Drosophila melanogaster: one gene and its partners. The protein of the gene in region 3 interacts with the protein of the main gene of each other region in a pairwise test. Each region holds a gene or a part of one and is shown on either strand. Other genes may lie near its edges.

What was found. The genes of interacting proteins can lie anywhere in the genome.
Region 1: the proteins of Npl4 (region 3) and CG11286 interact in a two-hybrid assay, tested with the Drosophila melanogaster proteins (one large-scale study listed by BioGRID).
Region 2: the proteins of Npl4 (region 3) and CG31988 interact in a two-hybrid assay, tested with the Drosophila melanogaster proteins (one large-scale study listed by BioGRID).

The regions. Positions count from the first base shown.
Region 1 is NT_033777.3:7,770,314-7,773,691, forward strand, and holds CG11286 (uncharacterized protein), read right to left. Parts: upstream 1,444-3,378; 5' UTR 1,388-1,443; coding exon 1,080-1,387; coding exon of another isoform or gene 1,079-1,079; exon of another isoform or gene 1,021-1,078; coding exon 898-1,020; intron 839-897; coding exon 694-838; 3' UTR 547-693; downstream 1-546.
Region 2 is NT_033779.5:21,200,947-21,204,325, forward strand, and holds CG31988 (uncharacterized protein), read right to left. Parts: upstream 1,857-3,379; 5' UTR 1,488-1,856; intron 1,327-1,487; 5' UTR 1,307-1,326; coding exon 770-1,306; 3' UTR 547-769; downstream 1-546.
Region 3 is NT_033777.3:25,620,690-25,625,385, forward strand, and holds the start of Npl4 (nuclear protein localization 4), read right to left. Parts: upstream 3,057-4,696; 5' UTR 2,891-3,056; coding exon 2,789-2,890; intron 2,717-2,788; coding exon 2,483-2,716; intron 2,421-2,482; coding exon 2,263-2,420; intron 2,202-2,262; coding exon 1,673-2,201; intron 1,613-1,672; coding exon 1,414-1,612; intron 1,352-1,413; coding exon 1,191-1,351; intron 1,150-1,190; exon of another isoform or gene 1-1,149. Other genes in the region: Ssadh (succinic semialdehyde dehydrogenase), read right to left, coding at 4,243-4,696. UniProt on the Drosophila melanogaster protein: May be part of a complex that binds ubiquitinated proteins and that is necessary for the export of misfolded proteins from the ER to the cytoplasm, where they are degraded by the proteasome.

The sequences.
Region 1 (3,378 bases), about 18 Mb from region 3:
TTCTGGTCATTGTTCACTGCGTAAACATTTGTAAATTTGCTCTTTTTCAGGTGTATACACGGTGCAAACAAAACTCGACTGAACGGCTAAAAAATGGTCATAAAATAGCATTTGACAAATGACGCACTTCCTGTCAACGCACACAATCACAAACGCATACAATCACACACGCACACATTTATCCCTTATCGGTAACTTGTAAAAAGAGGTCGAAACAATTGCATTGCTTTTAAACATGAATCTGCTCACATAGTTACACAGTTTAACAATATAATAATTCATTGTTTGAATTTATTTATGAGCGCAGCTCAAATATTTAATATGCACAAACGGCAGTTTGTTTAAATGTAATTTAGTGGAATAATTAAACAAATGCGGATTTTATTCAAAACTATTTAGTTGCTGTCCGATTGACTAACCTTTTTGTAAACGAGATCCTATTAAAATTTAACAAGTAATCATAAAATACATTTTCTTACAGTTCTTACGCCAGCCATCCAATTTGTTAGCTCACTAACTTTGCAGCGAAATTATAAAAAAGGCTTTAATTGCATAATTAAATTTATTGGCTGTACAATTTTCCATAAGGTAATTTTATCAGTTTTGCAGAGAATAATTGCAAAATTAAATGAGCTAATTAAACCATTTCCAAGTGGAATAAAAAGGCTCATTTACTTTGCAATTGGATCAGTTTTAGCAACCCAGACTTAAATCCGTTTTCAACAGATACTCGACGCGACGTTTTTCCTTAGGAGGCAGTTGAAAGAATTTTGAGACAAAGTTATTCAGTTCCCTCTTTGTATGCAGTGGGGGCCACATTGTTTTATAGCACAGGATTCTAGAAAAGCCACGAAAGTCCCGGTTAATTTATGTTATCATTTCTAACTTTTAGCTTACTTCTTCAGGAAAAACTGGTCGCAGATATTGCGTTGATTGGCAATAATGTGCTCCATTTCGTGAAGGAACTGCCTATCATATTTCGCTTTGGAGTCCAGATACCGCACATAGCAATTAAGATCGCTGGAAATAATGGTGTGTCAGGAAACCTAAGTAACTCAGCAAGTTCTTTCTTAACTGACTACTGAAAGTGCTTTATATCGTAGCTGGGATGCAAACTGGCATCGGCCTCGTCGTGGAACTTGATCCTTGGCTCATACCACTCGTCGAGCTCCTGGAGACGATGGAACTCATATCGGGAAGCAAGTCCTGACAAGGAAACCAACGAAGTGGTCTTCGTCCTAGTCAGGAATTCCTCCACTTTCTTAGCCTTCTCCTGGGCCTTGGCCACAAACTTCGCGTTGAGGCGGTGAACTGGTACATTTTTACCCCGCAGGACATCTCCCGCTGAGGGGATCGACTTAATGGTTACAAGGCTCGTCGCGGACATGTTGAAAATTTGATACTGCTCTTGGGAAACTGGAGATTTTTGAGATATATTAAATGGCTTATTTATGCGGTGACTACTTTGATTCGACAATTAACGCTTTAATAAATACGCCACATAGTTGTCACCGTCAACAACATCTGAGTCCTTGGGGAATTATTGTTTTAAGCCGCTGGTGTTTATAAATATACATGGAAACAGCCGAGAACATCATGAGGATTCATCAGACGATATATGGAAAGGGGTCAGGCTGCTGTATTTTATTTACACGGCCATTCACATTGGCATTTCAAAAATCATTCATTAATTTTTTAATTCAACAATCAGGCTGGTTCAAAGTGGCGTGGAATAAAAACCAAAAAAGGAATCTCTGTAATAATATCACATGCAATTATTGCAGGCAATATGCATGCAATTATGCTAAAGGATATCCATTGTAAAAAAAACTTTGCAAGTGAGCCCGAAATAGAGTTGCGAACTCGAAAGTTCTCAATGCGATTGGATAGCCTTTGTAATTATGATGTCCCTAAAAAAATGAAAAACTAACAGGGCCCTGTTCGAACTTTCATTGACTTATTTGTACCCTTAATAATGGTCCCTCCTAATAATCTATGAGGAGTAGTGCGACTGCTAATCTACCCACATTTGCACCCATTATCCAGGTGTGGTCGAAAATTATTCTCAAAAAGATTCCACACATTTTCGCGCCATTAAACATGCATTCGCGCATTTAATTTCATTTTTTGAACCGCCCGAGTTGACGGAACAGAGCCATCAGCCGGACCACAAGAGTGGCCCACTGAAGGGGGAATAGGAGCTGCCGCCGACAGGAGAGTTGGCCAATGTTTGCACAGCAAAAACATGGCCCAAAACGCTGGGTCTATTAAGAGCACATTTGACCAAAGTCGGGGCTCCGGCACGTGTGCAATGAAAACAAACGAGCCCATTATTGTTACACTTTTCTTTGGCAACCGGCCGCAGAGACCATTAATGATGTGTTATGGCCTCAAGAGGCCGGCCTAGCCGATCCTTGAACTTTGGCCAGGCAGAGCCTGTGAATTGAACTCTAATTGCAGATAATGAATTGCTCGCATTAGGTCAACGAACAGTCGTCCGGATTGCCGCAAAGTGCCTAATGGAAATGCAATGAACTATTTATGGGCATAAGTAGCCAGCAATTGGCTGACTGAAGTTTGATCACGCACTGGGATTATTAATGCCGAGACAGGTCGACTTCCCTTTAAAGTGCTCATCTCATCAATTTGTGGATGTTTTCCCTTGGCCTTTTGGCCAACCGTCATTTTGGTCGCCACAAAATTGACAGCAGCTTTCCCACAGCGCGTAATGACAAAACAGTGACTAAAATGTTAACAACAAATCCAATTTATTTCACCGACCGGCCTACGAGGGACATTAATTACCAGATGGATCACGTATAAGGTATTAAATGCAAACTCAATCTGCCAATGGGGAAATGGCCAAATAACAGAGTGGTTGGTCAAATCTGGGCACACAAACTAACACAATCTGCTACTAATTCCCACAAACTGCATTTAAAGATAGCGGATTTCATTTAATAGAATGTGTTCACCGCCATTGATAATATTAATATAAATATAAATATAAACGTCATTCAGAAAAAGCGTTAAACAATAAACAATAAACATTGACAATGGTCGATGGTCAACGAGAGTGTAAACAACAAGATTTACTGCCATATGCTAGGGGATTACGGGTGTAATTGTACGCCACTTCGAAATGACATTGAACCAGACATGAAAATTGATTTTGGGCCTGATGCCGAGTCCATTACGGAAATAAGTTTGCTGAGCACTCGGACCATATTTTCAAAAACATTTGTTTATTGGGCAATTATTTTACTGGGTTGCCGGCGGACTTCGCCCCGGCAGAATGAAACAATTTCACTTATGCACAAGTATTTCATATTGTCACAAATTCATTTTCATTTCAAGCCCTCGCTCCAGTGTCCCCAA
Region 2 (3,379 bases), on a different chromosome or scaffold from region 3:
TTTATTGTTTGTCTTGGCAATTTTTATATGTATACCAAAAGCACTGTGGACACGCCACTCCTTTCACCTTAAAAACTCCCAAAACAGTAACGCCCACATTTTTAAACAATTTTTACTCATTTTTTTCTATCGATATCCCAGAAAAATTATTAAATTTCGCTTTTGCATTCACACCAGCTGAGTAACCGTTATCTGATAGTCGGGGAACTCGTATGTAAAATTCTATCTTGTTCTTAATTTTTTTGTATTAATTCCATATTTATCTAGATTACACATCTGCGTAACCGATTCGTGACTACGCCAAGAGACGGCCACCACTTCATATCGAGAAGAATCGATAAGGCAGTTGTACTGCGATCTTAACGGAAAGATTTTTTAAAGCTCTTCAATTTTTGTTTTTAAAATTAAATAATTCATTATTTAAAGTGCTGCCAAAAGCTTGTTATTTAACGAAAGGCTGCAACATATTGGAAAGGGCTTGCTCGACCTTATCTCACAGTAATCAGAATGTTATTTTGGGTGACCAACACCACTAAGGCAAATCTTAGGGTATACCTGTCTACCCCAATACAGAGACTTAACATATTTGTTTTTTATTTTTATTTAGTGTTTGTGTGTGTATTAAGTTTGTGTGTTAAATGTGTAAGTCTGTTTTCTTGCATGCCTCTAGGCTTACTAAGCTTCGGGAACTATTTCAACATTATTGTAAGCAAGCAAATGAACAATTTGGAGGAAGAGCAAGGATGCACCATGGTTATCCGGGACGATGTTAGCAATTGCAGGCGGGGCACACGGGCTTGTCCCCGTCGATGGTGAAAGTCTGCGAGGTTATAGGATTCTCGCACTTGTTGCACCGGAAGCAATCGCGATGCCACTTCACGTTCATGGCGAGCACCGCTGAGTCCGTTATAGGCTTCTCGCACTTGGCGCACCTGGCAGCAAAGAGGTCCTCGTAATCCTTTTTGCAATAGGGCTTGCCGTCGCGCTCATAGAACGTTTGATTGGCGAGCGGCTTTTTGCAGGCACCGCCGCAGCAAAAGCAATCTTCGTGCCAGCTCTCCCCCATGGCGCAGATGGTTTTTTCAAGGATCGGCTTCTTGCAGCCGGCACAGGTGTAGGTGTACCGCTCCACGAAGCACTTGTTGCACACTGGTTCTCCGCTCTGAACATTGAAGGTGGCATCCAGGATCTGCTCATCGCAGTGGTGGCACAGGAAGTGCTCCGGGTGCCACGTCTTGCCCAGGGCGGTGATCATACGCTTGGTGATGGCCTCCTGGCACTTGTGACACACAATGCTCTCAGTCATTTTGGCTTCTCGATTGGTAACTGCAAAAAAAAAATGTGTTTGTTAATACGCATGTACAAAACAGGGTTGCTATTGATTATCGATTTATTGAAAGAAACAATGAAAGCTGGATAGGCAACGCAAATATCAATGAGAGAAATTATAATTCTGTACTAATTTCAAGATGGGATGTATTTCTTACTGGGTTTGGCGCCTGTTTCACTACTTCCTCTTTCTTTTCGCAATGTTTTTTTCTGAATTCGTTATCGTACTCTTCTCATATATCAAAACAATTTTCACAGGGCCACCGTTTTTACTTTACTTTCTTCTAGATGGTTCACACAAAATGGGAGAACAAAAAGAAGCAATACGGACTTGGACAAAATTTTGATACTGTTTTTTTTTTTTTTTGAAAAATTTTGATGTTTTTATTCAAATAACTATAGAAAACGAAACGAATGAAAACGTATGAATTTAGCAAGACTCAAAAACTGAATGAGATATTCGATGGAAACGCTGGGGGTATGTTTTGACATCTAGAAAATGTACAAGCATCGCCTACTGGACTGTAAAGTATTTGATTTTCCTTTCTAGGCTTTCTATGTTACTGTGACTACTGTTTAAATTTGTATCAAAAGGTTAATTGCCTAAATAGATGGCAATATGCTTGTGATTTCTTTAACATAATTTTATCTCCTTACCGAAAGTTATAAACATACTTTAGTCACTTATACATATTCGAGTATAAGAATTAGTCACACCAAAAACCATTAATAAATGGGTAAAAGGATAATAATAAGGGAGGTCTTCCACTTTCAAGGGTGATTTCTCCAAGCAAAGGGGCGGCATTTCCTTGAAGGCGCTGCTAGAATGTTTCCCAATTTATTATACAAAATTTAATTAAAGCAAAAATCCTGCGAAACTTCCGCATAGCCGGCAATTAACAAGGGCTGGGGTGGTGGCTACTCCTTTAAAGGACTCATCCACCCAAACGACTCGCCAGAAGGGTCGTCGTTGCCTCTTTCATCGTGGATCATGCACTTCGAAAAAATGAATTCGCTGAAAGAAATATTACTAAAACATCCAATTATTAAAAAAACAAGAGAAACAAGTTGTTTGGCAAGTCGAAATATGAAAATATTATATCGAAAGGTTTCTCAAAAATGTGGGCGTGGCAAAAAGTTTTTATGCAAATTGATAGAAAATAAAAATATAAAAAATGAAAAAATATCAACACGTTTTTCAAAAGTGTGGGAGTGACAGTTTTGTGCGGTATGTAGGCGTTAGAATGGGCGTGGCAACATGGGCCAAAAACTTGTCTCTTAAATCTGTGTGCTGAATCTCATCCTTCTATCATTTATAGTTCCTGAGATCTCGACGTTCATACGTACAGACGGACATGGCTACATCGACTCCACTATTGATTTTGATCAAGAATATATATACTTTGTAAGGTTGGAAACGCTTCCTTCTGCCTGTTACATACTTTTCAACGAGTCTAGTATACCCTTTTACTCTACGAGTAACTTGTGTAATAAAATTGAAAGTATTCTATACAGTCTTAGCTACTTTCGTGTTTCTGTATGAGTTTTTTTAAAAGTGTGAGCTGAGTAGGTCTGTATTAACTTATTCAAAATGATTTAGAGAATTATTGAATAATATATCGTGGAGTAATTACCCACAAACCCTGAACTATTGTATAACTTAAGTATAAGTTTTTTCGTGTGCCTGTGGAACATCTTTTGTTCCCTATTGAAGGCCACTCGGTGGAGCACAGCAATGTGTGCGGTCGCTACGCAACGGGGGTGGGGGTGTGGAGCTCCTGGTGGCGCTCGGGAGTCATCGGCGGAGGACATGTCACAATTTGGTTTGCGCTTTGATGCGGTGCATGGAATTTGAAATTGCAGCACCAGTCGGACGGGCGAGCTAGTTGTGTAAGTCGGATGGGAATTTGTGTCAGGCGTCTGTCTGCGTATGCCAAAGAGTGCTCGTATGCCATCCACATCCTCATCCAAATACAGATCCAAATTCCCAGCCCCGAATATAGGTTGAGCTGCTCGTAATTATTTATATTGAGTACTACTAAGAATTTCC
Region 3 (4,696 bases):
CGACATTTTCAGCAACAGAAGCCAATTTTTTTAACAAAGAAAGAAAGAATTTTTATAAACAATTTACAACTTATTGAAACGTTTTGGATGCTATTTTAAATAAAAAAAAGACTATCAATGATCTATAAACATTTCAGATTCATGGACAAGGTGGAAATTGTAACAGACCTTGAGTATTTAAATAAGTTTAGCTTAAGGAAAACGACACTAAATGTGCGTTGGAGCGCTACGACGATACCTGGATATAGTAAATTAGCTACAATAAAAACTTAAAAATTTGAAACCACGAGTAAGGTGAAATCCAAATACATAGCTGACATGTAATTAATGTCAATTCAAGTTAATAATTAATATGAAATAAACCTATTAGCAATAAGTAAATAAACGAGATAGTTTTCGGTGTCTAAATATGCATTTGATGTGATCATAACTAAGGCTATGTTTGTGATGGATGAAATAATGAACGCCAAGAATAGCCATCCATAAAAATAAGGGAATCAAGTAATAATATGACCTTAGCGATGTAAAGGAAGGCAAAGAATCTTTTTAGGAACAAATCGAAATCAATTTTACGAAATTTGTAGACTTATTATACTTTAAATTATTTTAAGTAATCAATCAATCAACGATTAACTTCAATTGAAAAGAAAAAAATCAAATCGAAATCTTATATTTTCCAAAATAATAAAAACGCGTATCACAATTAAGCATTAGATAGAACAAAACAGTTTGGCAAAATAAAAATAAATAAAAAAAAATAAGGGTAATAACTGGAAAATTGTGATTGGCTTGGCAGTTGCTCAGAAAGTTATTTTAACAATTGAATATGCGCTAAATAACAACATTGTTTATGAATGTCCTAGGTATAGGAAAAATAAAATGAACGTTTGAAGGAGAACCCAGAGCAATGATGAGAAGTACAAACCGAGAAGGATAAGGAAAATAATGAAGTTGTTCCATAAATAAATCAACGTAATCCAAGATAATGTAAGCCTCTAGATGTCAAATGTTTGAATTGGCGTTGCTCTTGACACCCAAATTTTCTTTGCATGTATCAAACTGAAAAACCAAATCCCATTCGTATTGATGTCTAAATATGGAAGTTGTTTGTGTAAATGTGTGAACGTAATTCAATAAAGGTTGCCCGATAACTGATTTTGCTTGAATGGGGGGGAGACTTTCTAACTTACCTTATAGAAAACGTCGGGAACATACTGCTTGTCCGTGGATTCACGCACGTAGCCCAGCTCGGGCGCATCCTTAGTGGGTATCAGACAATTATCGCGCACCAGAGCCATGCACTGAGCCGAAACCGCATAGCCTTCCATGTGCACTTGTTTGGTTTTATCTCCTGTAATGTTAAAAACTATTTTGGTACTAGTTCATTAAGCAGTATTAAATCGTGAATCTTACCTGTTACACAAATGGTCACAAACTTAGAGCCGAAGACGCCATTGGAGGCATATTTACACGGATTTGGATGTCGATTCTGCAGCTCGCCAGCTGTGATGCACTCCTGGGCCGTAATAAAGTGCGACTCGATGCCACGGATCTGTTTGACAGTGCCGATACTCGCATCGTCCGTGATGAGATCAGTGAAAATCCAACCAATCTATAAATGTCACAAAAGTCAATACTAATGCTACATAGCTACTGTCTATAACTAACTAACCTTCTTCAGTCCCAGCGCACTGGCTACGGCATCCACATCGTCGGCGAACTCATCCGGCTGAATATTGATCGAATCCCTGGTAGACTCTTGTGGCGGCTCATAAATGGCAGCCACCTTGGCCCGAATGCCCAACGGAACATCAGTGTGCTGCTCGTACGTCCCATACAGATATCCCATGCGCTGGTGTCCTGTGGTGCGCCAGTAGTTGAGGAAGCGCTCCACGATCTTAGTGTTCTCGAACATGACGTTGTCCACGTGGCGATATGTCTGACGATTCAGCGTAATGGCCGACGGCTGGCACTTGGAGCAGATGCCCTTGGGCCATGGTGGATGCTCGCGACATCCCGGCTTGATGCGGCAATTGATGTCGTCGAAGACAAAGTACTTGCCCTGATCCATGCCGGATGTCTGCTTTCGTATGTACGAGTGGAAGGACAAGTGCTTGATATTGTGCTCCTTCAGATAGGACTCATCATAGGGCTCCAGTGCGGAGCAGTGAACGCAACGGCCGTTGGCATTGTGGTGGCACCTACAAAAAGTTATAGGTTGATCAGTTTAATTTTACAATTAATTGTATAATCAAGGCCTACAGCTTGCTATCACGTTCGCGCTTAATGGTGCCATCAGCCTTGCTCAGAGCCTGGTCCACGTCATCTTCGATCACATTGAAGGATGGACGAGCGCTGTTTGGATTGCTAATGGTGCTAGTCTTGAACGCCTGACTGTCCAGGACAGTGGTGCTAGTGCGCTGAGAAGTGGTGAAAAATGCAGGTTAGTCCCCGATCGTTCTGCTCTATATGATCAACTTACGCGCGATGATGTGCCAGCCATCTGTTTTAAGTAGACCATGTCGCCATGCCTCAAGGAAGTCCCCACCAGCTGGGAGCCACTTGCCTGCAGCTCTGTGAGGAAGTTGCGCTCCTTGAAGAGACCAAATCCATCCACCTTCAGGGCATTCTGAACGCTGTCGTACAGATGCTTTAGATTTGACTTGGGCGAGATCTCGATGCGTTTGATGCCCTCCGCCGACTGAACGCGAATTAGCTGGAATTAACAAATGAATAACAGATTCTAATTAGTACTAGGACAGGTGAATTTGGCAATTTCTGATCCAACCGATTGTTTACATAACACAAACAGACGATGGCGCACAAAGGCGTAGGCGAAATTGCGCTTCTTGTAGATGAATTGCTCGAGCAGCAGTGGTGCACAGGCCATTTTCTGGACTTTCTGGACGGGTCACTGGGTGATGGGCGGTTGGGTGGGCTCTTGTGTGGGCGGTGGTGGGTGGTAGATTGGGTAAGGGGGATTGTCAAGTGTAGCTATTAGCTACCAAAGCCTGTAGGGCTTTTTGCTTAGTGTTTCGAACTGTACGTCATGAAGGCGCGAACTTGACTGCGGAAATTTATCTGGCATCGCAATTAAAAACAAATGCAATTCGTTGCCAAAATGAGTGCATAGTTAAAAAGAGAACTAATGCCTGTATATGTAAATTCGGATCTGTAATTGTATGAGCTTTAAATAAAAAATAAAACAGCATTTTGAAAGACAAGCTGCATGCAGTTTTAAAACAAAAAAATTATATTAAATTTGTATTTAAAATTTTAAGTTGTGCTATTTACTGGTATGTGCAGTTTTCTTATTTTACAAAACATATATTTCAAAAATTAATTTTACGCAGAGACATTTTTCTGAGTGTAGCACCCTATCAACCAGAAATTGCTTTATTAGACAGAAATATCCTCAAATGCATTTCCCCCAGGCGGATTGCAGCCAACAATTGTTAATAATTTATTTGGTTTTTGGATCGGTTTTTGGTCTCAAAACCCCCGCACACTCCCCTCAGTCCTACTGCCGCCTAGACTGCACTCTTTCAGTGGAAAATCTACAAGTCATGGTACCATTCAATTTCACCGCCAGCACCTTTGGCCGCATTTCGGGACTTGCAGTGGATTTGCACTGCCGGGAGTGCTTCCAAATGGGTTCATTATGCATTATATGCTTCGCTTTTGCCGGCTGAAATGCACTTTAAATATATTTTCCATACATTTAGGCAACAACAACAAACGCCAGCGAACTGGAAAACCGACATTGTTTGCCGGCTTTTTTGGTGGGTAGCTATAGGGAAACACTTGACCAATTTCACTGCACACACTTCACCAATAAGACATTCGCTTAGTTTCCACCCTAAATGCACTTTTTAATTTTTTATCAACAATTTACTTACAATTTTGTCATTTGGCATTGTAATTTTGTCTCTGTCTCTGTCGCACAGCTGTGGGGATGGCGATAGTCTGCCCAGAGGTGGAGAAAAATCGATTACTCCCGGATATCGATGTCTCTATGATCGGTTTCTTGTCAATTTAAAGCGATTGTTAACCAATCCCAATTAATCGAAAGGTGAGGCGGGCTATTTTAAAAAAGGGAAATTATCTATTAGCTTCAGGTAGACTTTGTGCACATTTATTAATATAGCGGCGTGTTATTCTACAATTAGACAACAATAAACCAATCGCATTCTAGTGGAAGACAGCGTATGAAAGCAGTGGGGGTGATCCCTCCATCGGACTTCAGTCGTACTTGAGGTTGCCCATGCAAATGTACTTGATGTCCACATAGTCGTCGATACCGTGTTTGGAACCCTCCCGTCCGACACCGGACTCCTTGACGCCACCAAACGGAGCCTCTGCTGCGGAGATGATGCCTTCGTTGACGCCGACCATGCCAACCTCCAGTCGCTTGGCCACCCGGAACACCTGCTGCAGATTCTCGCTGTAGAAGTAACCGGCCAGGCCTCTCCTGGTGTCGTTTGCCTTCTTTACCGCTTCTTCTTCGTCTCGGAACCGTATGATGGAGACCACTGGACCAAAGACCTCCTCCGAGTAGAGTTGCGCCGAGGGTGGCACATCTGTGACAATTGTGGGTGCGTAGAAAAGGGATCCCTTGTCGGGCAACGGCTGTCCGCCCAGAATAATGTTCGCCTTCTTCGACCTGGCGTCCTCCACAAAGCCACTGACTTTGTTG